2 linked regions of the Rattus norvegicus genome follow. The protein of the gene in region 1 interacts with the protein of each later gene in a biochemical or structural test. Links are inferred from orthologs where the notes say so. Each region holds a gene or a part of one and is shown on either strand. Other genes may lie near its edges.

The links. The genes of interacting proteins can lie anywhere in the genome.
Region 2: the proteins of Fermt2 (region 1) and Ilk form a complex in vitro, tested with the Homo sapiens proteins (2 studies listed by BioGRID). The link is inferred for Rattus norvegicus from reciprocal best matches to the Homo sapiens genes FERMT2 and ILK.

The regions. Positions count from the first base shown.
Region 1 is NC_086033.1:21,226,498-21,234,305, forward strand, and holds the start of Fermt2 (fermitin family homolog 2), read right to left. Parts: upstream 4,954-7,808; 5' UTR 4,869-4,953; intron 4,531-4,868; coding exon of another isoform or gene 4,522-4,530; coding exon 4,365-4,521; intron 1-4,364. UniProt on the Homo sapiens protein: Scaffolding protein that enhances integrin activation mediated by TLN1 and/or TLN2, but activates integrins only weakly by itself. Binds to membranes enriched in phosphoinositides.
Region 2 is NC_086019.1:169,497,005-169,504,856, forward strand, and holds the start of Ilk (integrin-linked protein kinase), read left to right. Parts: upstream 1-3,716; 5' UTR 3,717-3,731; exon of another isoform or gene 3,732-3,822; intron 3,823-4,114; 5' UTR 4,115-4,162; coding exon 4,163-4,251; intron 4,252-7,234; coding exon 7,235-7,400; intron 7,401-7,562; coding exon 7,563-7,658; intron 7,659-7,816; coding exon 7,817-7,852. Other genes in the region: Rrp8 (ribosomal RNA-processing protein 8), read right to left, coding at 229-508, 588-694, 825-954, 1,054-1,507, 1,717-2,083, 3,312-3,410. UniProt on the Homo sapiens protein: Scaffold protein which mediates protein-protein interactions during a range of cellular events including focal adhesion assembly, cell adhesion and cell migration.

The DNA of each region.
Region 1 (7,808 bases):
TCACTTAGTGTTGAAGGTGACAAAGGTCCTAATGTGTAGCACCATCATCGGGCTCTTGACTCAAACCTTGCTTTTAGAGTTCCTGGAGTTCAAACCTGGCTGTTTGCACTTCCGGGAGGTACAATAAATGCTTAAAAATCACAGTGAGTGGTGTGTGAATACCTTTCACAATATCTTAGTTTAGTTTAGATCATACATGCTAACTTCAAAACCTAACTGGATCCTCACTCCTCCCCCCCATCCTTGCCCCCCCACCCCCGTTTTGAGACCAGGTCTCATTCTGTAGACTTGGCCAACCTGGAACTTACTCAAAGACCCATTTGCCTGTGCCATTCCAAGTGCTGGGTGTGCAGTACCAGGCAGGGCAATTTTCAGATTTTAAGTCGGCTCCACTCATTTCTTCTTTATCGTAACTGAATCCCACGACTTCCCTTTAAATCTGTATCATGGGGATGTGATTTAACTTCAGACTCAGAGCTGGAAGAAATCGGTCATAGGCGGTGGATCCCTCCCTCTCTCCCAGCTCACAGAGCTAGCTGCTGAAACTTCCATTCATTAAGCTCCGCACTATCACGCATTCCTTACTCACCACTGAAAGTGAGTATTTCTAGAGAGACGCAAACCGAGTTGTTAGAAAGTCATCTAAAAGTGACTCTAAAACTTAGTGGACAAAAGCTCAGAGTACCTAGAGAAAAAGGAAAAACCAAACAGAACACCAATTAAGCATCCCCTTTGGTACCCAGAATCCTCAATGCTGATGAATCCCTGACTCTCACAGGTCTAATTGCTTTCCAGTGATCTCCAGAGGCATCCCAGCCAATTAAGCTTTCTTTTACAATTTATTTTTAGATATAATTGTTTTAAATTGTATCTTTTTTCATCTTATTTTTACAATCCTTATCCTTGATATAAGTTTTTTCTCTTAAAAACAAACAGACAAACAAGAAAACCTCAAAAACAACAACAACAAAAACTATACACACCAGACATGCTATGCATGGATCCCAGTATTTTCAGGGCCAGCCTGAGCTACATAGTGAGTTCCAGGCCAGCTCAGGATACATGAGATGCTGCTTCAAAACAAAACTAACACATGTTCAATGCATGGCATATACGTGTATGAAATTATCCTTATAGAACAGTACCATTTATACCCAAGTTAAAAGAAAATTAAACTACACACATCTAAATTTTCTTTTTTTTTTAACTTATTTGTTTTTGGGTTTTTTGAAACTGAATTTTTCTCTGTAGCTTGGTTGTCCTGGAATTTGCTCTGTAGACCAGACTGGCCTCAAACTCAAGAGATCCACCTGTCTCTGCTTCCTGGATGCTGGGATTAAAAGTATGTGCCACCACAGTGGCCGTTAACATTTTATTTTAATAAAAAAGACTATAGTAATATTTAAAGCCCTTATTTAAAGTGTTCTATATAGCATTTAAAGAAGGATAAAAAAAAAGCAGTTCTTCACATACATGGAGATGTACAATAATGAGACTGTCTACGATCAGCCTACACAGGCCAATCATAAAAGTTTCATCAAGCTATAAACCCCCAAAGCCCATTATCGCATTCACGGCATATACTTCTTGTTTTCTTTTAATGTCTAAAGCAGAATGACGAATGTGGTCCATGCTAAGACGTAAGAGTCTTTTCAGAGGTTGGGAATTAAAGTAATAAATCTGAGAATCAGGTTTAGATAACTACATTCCCTGGAATGCAAGTGTTCTTCAGAAAAGACTGAAACCAACTACAAGGATAACCGCTGACACACACCAAGAAAGCATCATCAATGCTCCCGACTTGGTCTGCTCCAGGAGGGACACCAGCTGTACAGTAAAACCTGCTGTACACAATGGCTGCTCCCTTCACTGCTCACCTGCATCTCTGAGGACCTAATGACAGCAAAGGTACCCCCTTTCCAGAGCTTCCACAACTCAAGGCATGAAAGGGAGGGTCAACCTGGGGTCTATTAACTCCAGGGAATCATGGGGTGCCGTGAATTGTAAAGCCTTTGCTAATCATCTACCCTCCAGTGAGGCTGACAGGGTCATCATACACAGTTAAGGCTGCCTGCAGTATACTGCCACTAACCGTTCCATGGCCCCGTAAGCCTGCTTCTGCTACATGCCCAGTACAGCTGTGCAATCTGAAGACACCAGACACCGTACCATCTCATCCCTAAAAAGACCTCCACCTCTTACCTAGACTCCTGTAGGCTGCTTTGATCTAGTCAGCCACTGTTGGCAAGAGTCATCGAGTTGGTCTTTTAATACCTTTGCTGATAACACGCAGGGCTTCAGAAGGCAGCCCATCCCAATGTTAAGACAAACCCGAAAAACTGCAAAAATTCCTTTCTAATTTGCCTGGTCTGATTTGTGGACATTTTAAATGGTATCCCACTCTTGTGTACTTGTCAAAAGTCTGCAATGCCTCCCCCATTTGGAACTTAGAACTCGAGAGAACTGGTCCAACTGAGGACAGGTACAAAATTCCTACACACAGAGGCATCCCTGTGTCCCCCTCGTTCCATGTAATTAATTAACATCGGCATGATTAAGATAGTTACTCAGAAGTATCAATCCTGTCTACAGACAGCTCATCCCCCAACAATTCTATTTATAATTGTGATTTCATAACACAGTCAGTCAAAGTGATGTAAATATAGTAGAAATCATTATTTATTCATTAAAGCCTGGCTTTTTGAGAATTCCAACTCGTCTAAGTCACCTTTGACAGATCTTTTATTGCATTACTTAAAAAAAAAAAAAAATTACCGTGTAGAGCTGGGCATGGGGAGGGCACCCCTTTAAATGCCACAACTCAGAAGCAGAGCAGGCTGGTCTACACGGCGGGTTCAAAGCCAGCCAGAGCTACATAGTGAGACTATAGTCTCGGATAACAAAACCAAAAAATTAACCAATCAAATAATTAAAAACGGCAATGTATCAGCAAGGTCCACTAATCACATATAAGGCACTCTGATACAAACTACCGGGTCCTTGTCAAACAGGAACCATATTGGGTAGTTTTCATCCCCAAGTGGAACTGGACAAAAAAGGTTGGTAAGTATTTTGCCAACAGTGATTAACTTGAATCACATTAAAAAAAAAAAAAAAAAAAAAAAAAAAAGCAGTGAACCGACAGTTACTTGGTTGGTGGCTCTTTCTGGGCTGTCTCTGGCATCGACAACGGACAGTACTGGGAGGACCCTGCTACTGAGAGGCGGTACAACGAGCTCCTCTTTAGACCTCCAATAATTAAATTCCCTGCAGGGGCATTAAGTAGATTCACCTAATAAATGAAATCAGCCTAATTCCCAAATTGTATCAGGCTATTTCATTTAAGTTTATATGGTAAATAGGCAGTTCCCCTTCCTCCTTGATAAGAAATATATTTTCTGAGAGACGAATATTCCTTACTTTTCCAGGATGGCCTGAAGCATGAATACTGATTAAAACCAACTAACCCCGCCAAAAAGACATCCCCACACAAAACACCTTATCACTTCATTATCCCACAGCAGCAAGCACTTTGCAGGTCTGAAAGCTGTTCCTCAGATAAAAGCTCTCCCGATAAAATCATCATCTTATCTAGTCCGGTCCTTCTGCCAGGTGAAAACGGTTTGCCTTATCACAAAATGGGTAGTGCCATTTTCTCAAATATCCTGGGTGACAGCCCTGGCTTACAATCGAGGCAGAATCAATCCAGTATCCATGTGTACTCAAATAAATACTGTCAACTTCAACTCAGTTTAGTGTCTGCTTGAAAAGAAAAAAAAAAAGAAAAAAAGAACCACCAAAAAAACGAAGTTCTTTCATTGGCTTCTTAATGCTCGAAATAGCTCACTTCCAACTCAGAATACAGATACCAAGTTTGTGAAGCACTGCCCCACCCCTCGCAAGAGCTCAGAGTGGAACATTTCAGGGCACTCCATCACGTAGTACAGCTACAGAAACTTCATACCGACCGACGCCAGTGCACACTCTCCCCAATAAACAGCGTCATCCACACCCAGGTTCAATGAGGGTATGAGGCGTTAACACCTACAGACCCGTAATACCACATTCACAACTTTCACCTGCATACTCTCCTCCTCGTTGCTTTCAACAAGTCGTCCCGGGAATCCGCAGTTAACTATTTAGTAGGCTCGAATCACTACCTTATGTAAAAATCAAAATAACAAACAGGACGCGGAGGGGAGCGAGTCTATGCGCCCCGATAGCAACAAATTTCGCATTTTAAGCGCAGCACACGCCGGGTGCTAGGATCTCCCAATCCCACCCCTCCCCCCGCCGTCTTTCCTCCCCACCCCCTCCTCTCATTCTGGGAAGTCTTCATTGGAGGCATCAGGGGTGCTACTCACCGAGTTTTTCCACCAACTTCAGCATCACCCCTCCGATGTGCACCTCCCCGGTCACTCTGAGGGTGACATCACGGTTCAGGTCGGTGACATGGACGCTCAGTTCCCACGTCCCGTCCGCGTAGCAGCCATCTGGCATCCTTATCCCGTCCAGAGCCATGGCTCCTTCCTGCGAGCGCGGAGGAAATGGCTCTCGTCAGCGTCACTCCCCCAAAGGAAGACAAACCCCACCGAGTCCACGGCGCCGGCCGCAGCAAGGGAGAAGGCGGAGGAGCCGCGGCTAAGCGCGCACCCCCGAGGGCCCGGTTGCGGGCGCCTCGGCACCCAGACCGCGGCCTCCGCCCGCCGCACCCGCCTAGCGGACTCGGGCGCCTTCACCTGCCGCCGCTGCGCCCGGCCCGCTCCGCGCCTCCCCACCCGGCCCGGGTGACCGCGCTGCGCTGGCCCGCGCTCCGCTCCGCTCCGCCGCGTCCTCCCCGCGCTCTGTTCTCCCGCTGCGCCCCTCACCGTGCTCCTCCCGCCCGGCTCCCGCGGCAACAGGCGAGGCCGGCGGCGCCCGCGTCGCTGCTTCTGAGGGAAGCGAAGGCTCCCGCTGCGGCTAATGGAGTCCCGGCGCCGCGGCCCCCGCCCCACCCCCTCTCCCCGCCCCGGCCCCGGCCCCCGCCCCGCAGTACCGCCCGCAGCCGGCCTCCGCCCCCTCCTCTCCGGCTCTCCTCCCGCCGCGCTCCCGCGGGGGCCGCGCGCGCTCTGGTGGGGCCCGGGCGGCGCGCGCCTCGGGGGAGCGCCGCGGGGGGAGGCGGCGGCCGCAATCTCGGCCCTGCGGAGCGCTGCCCTTTTATGGAAATGAAGGACCAGGCGCAGGGATGGAATCCAACATCCGGGCTCTCGGCTGCGGAGCTGGGGAGGGGGGCGGGGGCGCGCGCGGGGCCGAGGCGGCGCCTGCAGCGGGGTCCCGGGTTCGTGCGTGAGAAGCAGCCTCGCCAAGTTCCCAGACCCCGGGACCTGTGCGTGGAACCCGGGCGCGAAGGCACCGCGCCGGGGAGCTAGGGAGAGAAGTTGGGATGCAGAAACTTTACGATGTCTGCCTTGAACATCCCACAAGAGTAGGAGAAAGGACAGAGGAGCGATGAGCCACAAAAGTTGCCTGGCAAGCAGGGTCCCCCTCCAATCCGCAGCTCCTGCGGGACCCCGAGAGATGGCGAGCATTACAAATCCCTCGGACACAAATGCCTGCCAGACCCAAGAGGGTGGCCCATGCGCTCCTGCTGGAAAAGGGGGACCACCCCCCACCCCCTCCCCGGGCAGTGGCTTACCCGAGACCGCTTCTCCACCCTCGCCAACTGTTTGCGCGTATTTGGGACTTTTCCTCCACAACTTAGAGGACTCAGTGTTCTGGTTGCACGCACATTCTCTTCCTCACCCTCCGACACACCTCGAAGACATTTAAGTAGCTCTGAACCGGTGTTCAGAGGACAGAACTTTTACCTGTTATAGACTTTGACTAGTGATAGAGAACGATCTCCGACAGCCCACTTCCACGTTCCCTTTAACTATTACACTCTGTTGAAAGGAACTGTTCAGAATCAGCAAGTCAGGGAGAGTCAGATAAGACACTGTAAAAGATCCAGGCTTTTAAAAAGTGTCTTGGACTTCTTGAACTGCCCTACACGCTTCAAAGGGGAAATCTACCGCGCAAACAACCCTTTGTTCATCCATACAACATCGAAAGAAAAAGCACAGTCGCCAGAAAGGAGTGGACACCCGTAAGGGAGTGAAAGCAGAAAAACTTAGTCAAATGCCAGAGGTTTGGGAGTGGAAAAAAAAGGGAAACCACTCATCTAACGCTAGCTAGTCATCATGGAGAAACTGATGCCTCTCTCTAAGCTTGCCTCTCTCCAGTTATTTCTACTTGTAGACGTTTGTGAGTGGTTTACTTAGAAACAGTGTTGTTCAGGGTGGAAACGGCGTTGATGAAATTATGTTGTTGGAAAAATATAGGAGAATGTTTTTTAATAATGTAGAGAATTAGTTGCGTGGGTAAAAGATAAAAAACAAAACAAAACAAAAAAACAAACAAACAAAACACTTTACAAACCAGGCGTAGTGGTGCATGCCTTTAATCCCAGCGCTCGGAAGACAGAGGCTGGCAGATCTTTCTGAGTTCAAAGCTAGCCAGGCCTACATAGTGAGTTCCAGGACAACCTGGACTATTAGAGAGACTCTGTCTCCAAAAAGCAAACAAACAAAGATCTGTAGAAAACCCCGTACGTGCCACTGTAAAATCAAGAACCCAACCATTTTTAAATATTTAGATTTTAAAAAAGATTAGGAGGAAAGTCCCCAAATGTTAATTATTTGGTGTTGTGGTCTTGAGGGGTTTTCTTTTGATTGGTTGGTTTTAGTCTTTCTTTTTCTAACCACCTCAAAACCTGCCACATCCTGGACTTTTCTGGCTACTGAGAACTGTATTCACTGCCGCAATCCTTCTCTGTGTGATGGACAGACTGGCCACAGCAGCTACCAGATTCGTGGGCAGGATTTGCATTTTTTTTCTGTGTGTGTGTGTGTGTGTGTGTGTGTGTGTGTGTGTGTGTGTGTGTGGTGTGTGTTGGCATCTTCAAAGTTAACTATACATTTGTGTTATCTATACATTTACAAATAGGTTGACACAAAACATATAGAGAACATATTGGTACCAATTAAAAAGTATCAAACAATCAGGGGCCTATCCCATGGGGAAATCTCTTTATTAAAGAAATCCCTTCGTGAAATGTTTACGCATGTTCGTTGCCCACTGCATCTGTTTGTTTCCTCCCCTTATCTCCAAAGGATCTGTGGCGATGTAAAAGGACGCGTAAGGTAGGAGGTAGCAGACATTAGAAGTGGCTGGAAACAAGAACAAGATGTGTATGTGTTTGAGGCTTAGGAGGATGGGGTAGGTACTTGAAATGAGGAATGAGGTCCCAGAATTATTCCTAATGACCTGCCCGTGTGTTCCAGTAAGCCCAGAGTCTCTCTAACATGCCTTAGCACCAAAAATATCCATGTCCTTTCTGAATATTCCTTCTCCTCAGACAAACTTGTTGAAGCCAAGTGTGGTACTGAGCACTGGGAGGCAGGGACCCTTGGTGAAATACCGCTGGAAGAATGACTAGGGTGGGTGCAGCCTGTTCTTTCAGGCCTTGGCTTTGAGTATTTCAAGCTGTTGCTGCTTTGAAGATTAAAGAGAAGCCAAAACTCAAACCTTTGAAACCAGGATATTTTCCCCCTTCTAGTTCATCAAGTGAGACCTTCAAGTGCATTTCTTAAATATTTGCTTCTACCTAATGTTTTCTAATGTATTTAAATGTAGGCTCTTATCTGAACCCCCGCCCCAGAACCTCTAAGACAACTCAATACTTGTGGGACTTACATCATGCCGAAAAGGAGCCGAGAACTCCAGTGTTT
Region 2 (7,852 bases), on another chromosome or scaffold:
ATTCTGGCTCAGAGCCTGGGTAGATACAGTCTTCAGAGTTCTGAGATGGGAGTCTGATCTCTCCCTTTCAACGGTGTCCATTGGTCACCTGTGCTTGTAGAGACAGGGCTGAAGTTTAAGGCCTGAGAGTTGGGCTTTGGGTCCTACTCGAGGAGGTCCAGTCTTTTCAAAGTCAAACAAGAAGAAGTGGCTGTTGGTCAGGTCCTAGGAGCAGAGAATACTGATGAGCTACAAATCTTCACTCCAACCACACACCTCAGTGTTTCCCCTGTTCAGAGAGCATCTCACAGCTCCTCCCAGAGTTTTGTATTGAAAAAGCAAAATGCCAGTCTCTATGTTTACATCTTCCTTCCTGAACACCATTATCCGAAAAAAGGTAAGAACAAAGGCAGACTTCTTGGGGACCCTCACCTTGTAGATGACCTTAAAGCCAAGTTTGGTCACAGCCCCCAAAAAGGTCCGAATATCCTCAAAGCGGCTGCTGACTTCCGCTACTTTGAGAAGACCCCTGGGAAAAGGAGGAAGTCATGTGTAAAGGTGTAGACTCATGCATGCACAGCAAAATCATCTGTGTTCTAGGGACTCACCCTGGCTTTAGCACTCGATTCGCCTCCTCAAGGAAGTCCCTGATGTTGGTTCCCATTAGTGAAAGGCAAAACACAGCCACATCCACAGACTCATCCTCCAGAGGTACCTGATGAAGAAGAATGTTAATTGGAGTACACAGTGTTGGAAGAGGAAATCCAGCACCAAAATGCTTGAACTGGATAATCTGATGAGAAGACCAGGAAGAAGGGTAAGATCAGATACACAAAAGGGCTTACCTGGGCCATGTCACACACAGTGACCCTGGGGTCCAGAGCAGCCAAATCAAAACAGTGCACGGGGTTCCGAACACTTGAAGCTAGGCGGCAATCTCCACAGCCAAAGTCAGCTACCACTAAGGATGCAGGCCTAGGAGTGGAAGGGAGGGTCGGGTCACTTATTGGTCTGGTCAAAGTCTTGATCACCACCACCACCCCTCTCGTAGTCTATAGCCCGCCCCCCTATTACTTCTGACGGAGATCTTTGGCAATGCGGTCCACGGGGTGCAGTGGCCACTTCTTTACTTGTCTCTGAAAGCCACGGTGATAAAGGAGAAAAGCCTCAGGGTCTTCCTGGAATAGGCATTGGGCAGCACTGCTGGGCCCTGAGTACAGCTGTTCATTAAGGTAGCGAAATCGGGCCCCATCCAGGCGTTGTGTCATGCGTGCTCGCAGGGCTCCAGCTCTAGTCTCTTGACTGTCTGACTTTGGAGCAGGAGGCACCTCAGTCTCCTCTATGGAAGCCTTGAGAGGCACCTGGTCCTGTGTCTCAAGTGGCCGAAATTTGTTCTTGTGTCTCCGCTTATTTTTCTGCCGGTTCCGCCACTGCTTGCGGCTCAGGGTGTGTGAGGAGTTAGGTGATGCAGACTCACGGCTTGACTTGGGTGGGTCAAGTGTAGCAGTACTTGTCCTAGAATTGTGAACTGCAGAGAGGGAGATGAGAAGGCATTTGAGGCTTGATCCCCTAAATTCAGAGGCACAGGAAGTCATCCTGGCTACTCCCTTGTCCTTAAGACAGAGTCTATAGCCTCTTACCATCCAGCCCATGGTGTGTGTGTGTGCGTACAAGAGAAAGACAGTGCCATCTACACAGTCAGTTCATACCCCTCCCCCCATTCACATATACTGGTACCTGTTTGGTCAACACTGTTCAGGGACTGGGTTGGGTGTAAATAAGAATATTCCTGGCATTTCCTCTTTCCTTTTTCTTCTCCAGCAGAGATCCCGCCAAGAGGAGGAGCTTGTCTGTGGCATGTTCTTTCCACTTCTTTCCCCTCAGAGTCACTGATAAATGGTGCCTGTTTTTGACACTTCCCTTTTCTTTTCTTCCCTACTTCCTTTGAGACATTGGCAAGTGAGGACCTTTGGAAGTGTCTCTTCTTCCTTCCTACCTCCTCCTCTTCCTCAGAGTCACTGCCAGGTAGGCTGGGGCATTGCTGGGAGAGAGATGCTGCTTCCAGGGCTCGTAATGTAGCCAAGAGATGGCGGCGCTTACGGCCCTGGAGGCAAACAAGGGATAAGAGTGTGTATGTGAGAATGGATGAGGCCTGAAGGCTATGAAAAGAGATGGACTTCAGCTACTGGTGGTCCTTCCCATCCAAAATTAGCACATTTGTTGTGAAGTCAGCCAAGTCCAGAACTTTCAGGCTGCAATTCCAACCTCTGGGAGGCAGGAGGGCAGACAATGTTCCCGTTCTACTTTTCTAAATGGGTAAAGGATTGCCAGTTGATTTCCTTAGAGGAATGTGCTAAGCACCCAAGCAACGGGACCAAGGTAAGACTGTGGCTATCTTTGCCTCTCACTGACAGCATTCTAGGGGCAGCAGAGGTTTTTTTTTTTTTTTTTTTTTTTGTTTGTTTGTTTGTTTTGAAACAGGACGGACAGTGTCACACATGTCTGTCTATTAAAGATATTCCTAACTGCAGTAGAAGGAACAGCCTGTTAGGAAGAAGCTGCACACAGACAAGCAGAAATGGACCACAGAAATGAATAGTACATCCTAGGCTGACTGAAGGTCAGGAACAGCTTAAGGGGATATAGAATTCCTCACATCTGATGAGACTCAAAGGAAAAGGCCTGTTTTCCGTGAAGTTGATTTGGGGTTCAAGTCCTACTGCTGGTCCTCAGCCAGACCCTTACCTTGGAGGTTCTAGATTCCCTGAGCCTCCTTTGAATAGTGATTCTGATACTTTCCCTGTCACCTGCCTTGATTCTGTCTAATATACACTGCAACTAAAAACCCTTTCAAGGTTTCGGATTCAGCTATGTAGTAAATGCTTGTCTACCATGCTGAAGCCCTGGAATCGAACCTCAGTATATAAAGTAATGCCAGGTGAGAGAAAACTTGGAGAAACCACTCCACTGCTAAAACTCCACTGATTTCTACCCTTAGTGTACAGAAAACTTACTAACTTTTCAAGCTCTGCGCTCCAAGCTCCTAATCCCGCATTCCTATTAGGACACACTGTGATACGGTGAGTTACTGCCCGGGAGCTTCTCAACATTTTTCTAAATCTCAGGTACGCTCTTCTCCACACCAACTTCTCACCAATTATGTTTTAAGGTCAGTTTTTTGGAGAGTTTCCGGATCTTCAGATCATGACTAACTCTCTCACCATCCTGATAAACGACAGCATTTCAGGCTCTCCCTCTACCCAACACGACCCCGGGAGGATCGACTTTGCCTCCTTAAAACTCTTCAAATAGCCCGGTGCAGGGCCGCTCACCTTGACTGGCGGGGCAGTCGCCGCCTGAACCTGTGTTGTCACGGGCCGGAGGCCAACGATGGCTGGGGCCGCCTCGACCCATTCGGGCTCCTCAAACATACCGGTGGCCGGCAGGGTTGGAGGAGTCTACGCTCTGGCCCACGTGTAGCGCGCGTCCGAGAATCCTAGGACTGGAGCCAGACCAAACTCGGCCGGAAGCCACCGAGAGAAATTCTGTGGTGGCTAGAGCGGCCCGCGCGGAGCAGAGCACCATCGAGTGTAACCGCTCCTGAGCTAGAGAGGCAGTAGGAGGTCGGAAGGGAGGGACCGCGGCCCGCGCTGGCTGGAGAGGGCCGGGCCGGGCCGGGCCGGGGCGGGGCCGGGCGGCGGGCGCGGCCGGACGGGAGTTCCCCGGAGAAGCCGCCTGCGACCCGAGTCCCGGTGAGTGCGGGTAGTTCCGCGCCCTGTTCCATGCTGGTCTTGCAAACCTGTCTCTGCGATCTCTACAGTAGCTCTGAGCCGGGGCCGCCGGGCAAGGACCCCTTTCCCCTCCCCCGGGTGTTTGCAGCTTTGGGCCCCTCCCCTCCCCCCAAGCCGTGTTCTAGGGCCGTGACTCGGAGCCCGCTGACGCCAACTCAGGAAACTAGCAAAGTCTACCCTATACCTCCAGATCCCCCTGCTCCTCGAGCCCAGGGGTCGTCCGCTGCCCGAAGCCCTTCACAGACAACCACTGTCCCTTTCGCGACGCTCCCCATCCCAGCACTGACACCTCTGTCCTGAGGGAACAGAGATAGAGTCATTCTCTTGTCTCTGTTCTCCCGCAGTTCCCCGAGACTTCCCCAGTCCCGGGGTCTCTGTGCCGGGACGCTGCTATGGACGACATTTTCACTCAGTGCCGGGAGGGCAACGCGGTGGCGGTGCGCTTGTGGCTGGACAACACAGAGAACGACCTAAATCAGGGGTGAGCTGAAGCATTGGCGAGTGAGAGGACTGCTAGAAGTCCGCTCTCCGCTACTTGGGGTGCTCATGTCGGGCGGAGACAGCTAACTTTGTTATCCAGTGTGATGAGGAGTATTAGAAAGCAAAGTCTGTTGATGGAGGAGGGTTTACAGAGAGGAAGCTGTGTCTGGGTTTTTTGTTTTTACTAAGTTTCACAATCGGTTCCCGAGGACTTTGCAGCCTCTGTGAACTCATGTCAAAGGCAGACCAGAGTGCCAGAAAATTGGAATTACATGTGGTTGGAGGATGAGTTTCTGCGCCCTAGAGCATTGGATAGAAGTGGAAAAGGACATTAGAGATCTAAAGTTCTGAAGCTGTGTAGTGATGAGACTACCCATTTGTCAGGTGTCACCGTGGATGCAATTGCCTTAAAGTGATGTTTTGGATACAAGAATTGAGACAGGGTTAGTGGTGAGAGCCCTAAAGTCATAAGAATGAAGTAGTTGAGTTGGTATGGGAAGTGAAGGAGGAAGTCAAAGATGACCTGGGGTTTAGGTTTGGGAACTTGGACACTTGGCAGTTGCCGATGCTCCATTTTGGACTGACTACAGTTTGGTGACACTACAATAACTTGGAAATGCTTGACAGGTTGTTGTTCGTGCAGATTTTAAGTTCGAGAGAGGTCTGATTGGGATACCAAGATACCATAAATTAGCGTTTAAATGATACCTGAAGATTCTATAAGGTGAAAAATAGTACCTCAGAAGAGGAGTAAAATAAAGGCAGAGGTCGAGAAGGCTGGCTGACTGACAGGGAACAACCATCTGAAGGAGAAATAAGAAATGGACTAAGATTAGAGAATGGATGTTTTAATGGAAGAAGAGTGGTTAATTATAGGCCACTGAGAAGTTAAAGAACATAAGTGAGCATTTTAAGTCTTCATTTAGTTTCCATTTAGGATGTATTTGGTCTTTGAATGGTATTGCAGAAAGTAACAGGAAACTGCATTACACTGGGTTCCTTCAAATAAGAACTCCTTGAGGGATTGGGAATGTAGCTCAGTGGTAGAGCATTTACATAGCAAGTGCAAGGCCTTGGGTTTGGTCCTCAGCTCCGGGGGCGGGGGGGGGGGGGGGAATCCTTGCATAAGACCTCATCTATTCCCTATAGATGGCAGGCTTCTGTCAGGGAAAAAAGTGAATGGAAAGTGAGGAAACAGATAATGTGAACACTTTCTACAATGCTGGCTGATATAAGAAAGCAAGAAATGCAGTGTTGGAAGAGTTTAGTAGGTAGTTTTGGTTTGCTTTTGGAGACAGCCTGTCATGTAGTTCAGAATGGCCTCCAGCTCTCCTTCCTCCTGCGTCAGTCAGCCTTCTGAGTGCTGGGATTTCCATTTGTTGCAACTGTATTTGACTATAAGAGGATTGTTTTAGGTTGGAAAGGATCATCTGTCATCCTAGGCCAGGTTTCACCAGCTTCCATTAGGGTGAATACTGTTTCTCTGTTATATTCAAAGTTACTTGTTTCATTTTTTTTTACATTAACTTGTGCGCTCTGTAAACACTAAGCTGTCTGTCCTATTTTGTTGGTAAGAAAATAGAAGTTTAGGCTGTTGTCCAGTGGGAGTGGCATCTGGAAGAATCCTTGTTGTCAAAAGGTGAAGGGTATCATTAGGGAAACCAGAAAGCTTTGGTGGCTTGAAGGGAAAGGGCAGTGCTGGAGGTGGTTAACTCCCTGCAGGCATTCTTCAGATAGAAATCCAGGCCCTCAGGTGACAGTGGGCAAAACATTTGCATTTGTTCTCAAGCTTAAGCTTCCTCTGAGGCCACAGACTTCTGGAAGTTGTTTGGTCAGAATACATGAAGTCTGGGAGAGAAGACTGATAGGATAGCAATGGATATACTCACATCCTCAGAAAGCTTTTGCCGAGTTTGTATTAACTGATGAGGGCAGACTAGAGGGACAATTTTTTTTTTTTTTTTTTGGATCTTTTTTTCGGAGCTGGGCAATTATTTAAAGCTACATATCTCCTTCAACTGTTGGGGGATTCTGGGTGACCAAGCCAGGATCAACTCAAGGCCCCTCCTCCAGCCCCCTCACAGGAAGTGACCACAGCACTAAAGCATCTGGAGGCTGCAGGCCTAGACCACAGACCGCCCCCTGTTCCGCCCCTCAGATCTGCATCCCAGGGCTGGAGGGAATTTCCTTTTATGGCTCCAGGCTGTCAGTTTGACCCAGCCCATACAGTTGTTTTGTTTGTACACTTCTCTTTATAAAATATATGTCCTTAGGGGATGAAAATAAAACTCAGATATATTTTTTATTCAAAAGCTTCAATTTATATTTTCCTCTGTGAATTTTGGTTGGTAAGTAGGAACATCCGGGTTTGTGTGGTTATCTGCCTCTTCAGTAATCAAAAGCATGTTTGTTGTTGTACCCCTTCAAAATATTTTAATTCCATTCCATTTTTAGATGTCAGCTTCAATAACAGAGCCAAAAGTAAGCCTGTTTCCTCTCCTAAGTTGTATAGCCTGTCTTCTCCAGTATGCCTTTGTAACTTTACAGCAAGGAGATGCACAAAAGCAGTCAAAGGATGATAGGTGTTACTAAAGATGCATGAGCTGGAGATGAAGCCTAGTGGTATAGCATGTGCCAAGCATACGAGGTCCTGGGTGTGCTTCCTAGCACTGTCAGATGGGAAGACAAGAAGGTAGGGAACCCAGAGGACCCCAGAAGAGTACTGTCTACCTAATGAAATAGAACTGCTAGGAAAGGAGTTGTGGTTAAAGTGATAAACCTTAGAGCTGTTGGGACATCTAGGTGATTGTTGGGTGTAAAGCTCAAGGGAAAATCTGAACTGAACTTTAGGAATTGCCAACACAAGTAGAAATTAAGTCTTAAAGAGGCAAGCCTTCTTAGTGGCTACAGAATTTCTTTTCCCCGATGAATCAAAGCTTTGTCCTTCCCAACACCAGCTTAGTGTCTATGTCCTTTTCTCAAAGGGATGATCATGGCTTCTCCCCTTTGCACTGGGCCTGCCGAGAAGGCCGATCTGCAGTGGTTGAAATGCTGATCATGCGGGGAGCACGGATCAATGTGATGAATCGTGGGGATGATACCCCCCTGCACTTGGCAGCTAGTCACGGACACCGTGACATTGTACAGAAGGTACATGCAAATCCTTTACCATCCACATCTCACACACAATATGAAGCCAGTAACAGGCACTGTCATGTGGAGAATGTGTGCTATTCTTTCTTTCTTCGTGCCTGGACACAAGTATCTCACAGGAACTGACTGCCCTTTTCTTTTCTTGGCCATGGGACGCAGCTGTTGCAATACAAGGCTGACATCAATGCAGTGAATGAACATGGGAATGTGCCCCTTCACTATGCATGTTTCTGGGGCCAAGACCAGGTGGCAGAGGTAAGTACTCAGACCCCAGGTCCTATGGTGAGTGGGAAGCAAACTGGGCATGGAACCATCAGTGCACCTGTCAGTCCCACTGTGGGACAGTTACAGAACTGTCGTTGCGTCCATGTGTTCATGCTTGTTTGTGACTGGCCTGACAATTTTCTTTTCAGGACCTAGTAGCTAACGGGGCTCTTGTGAGCATCTGT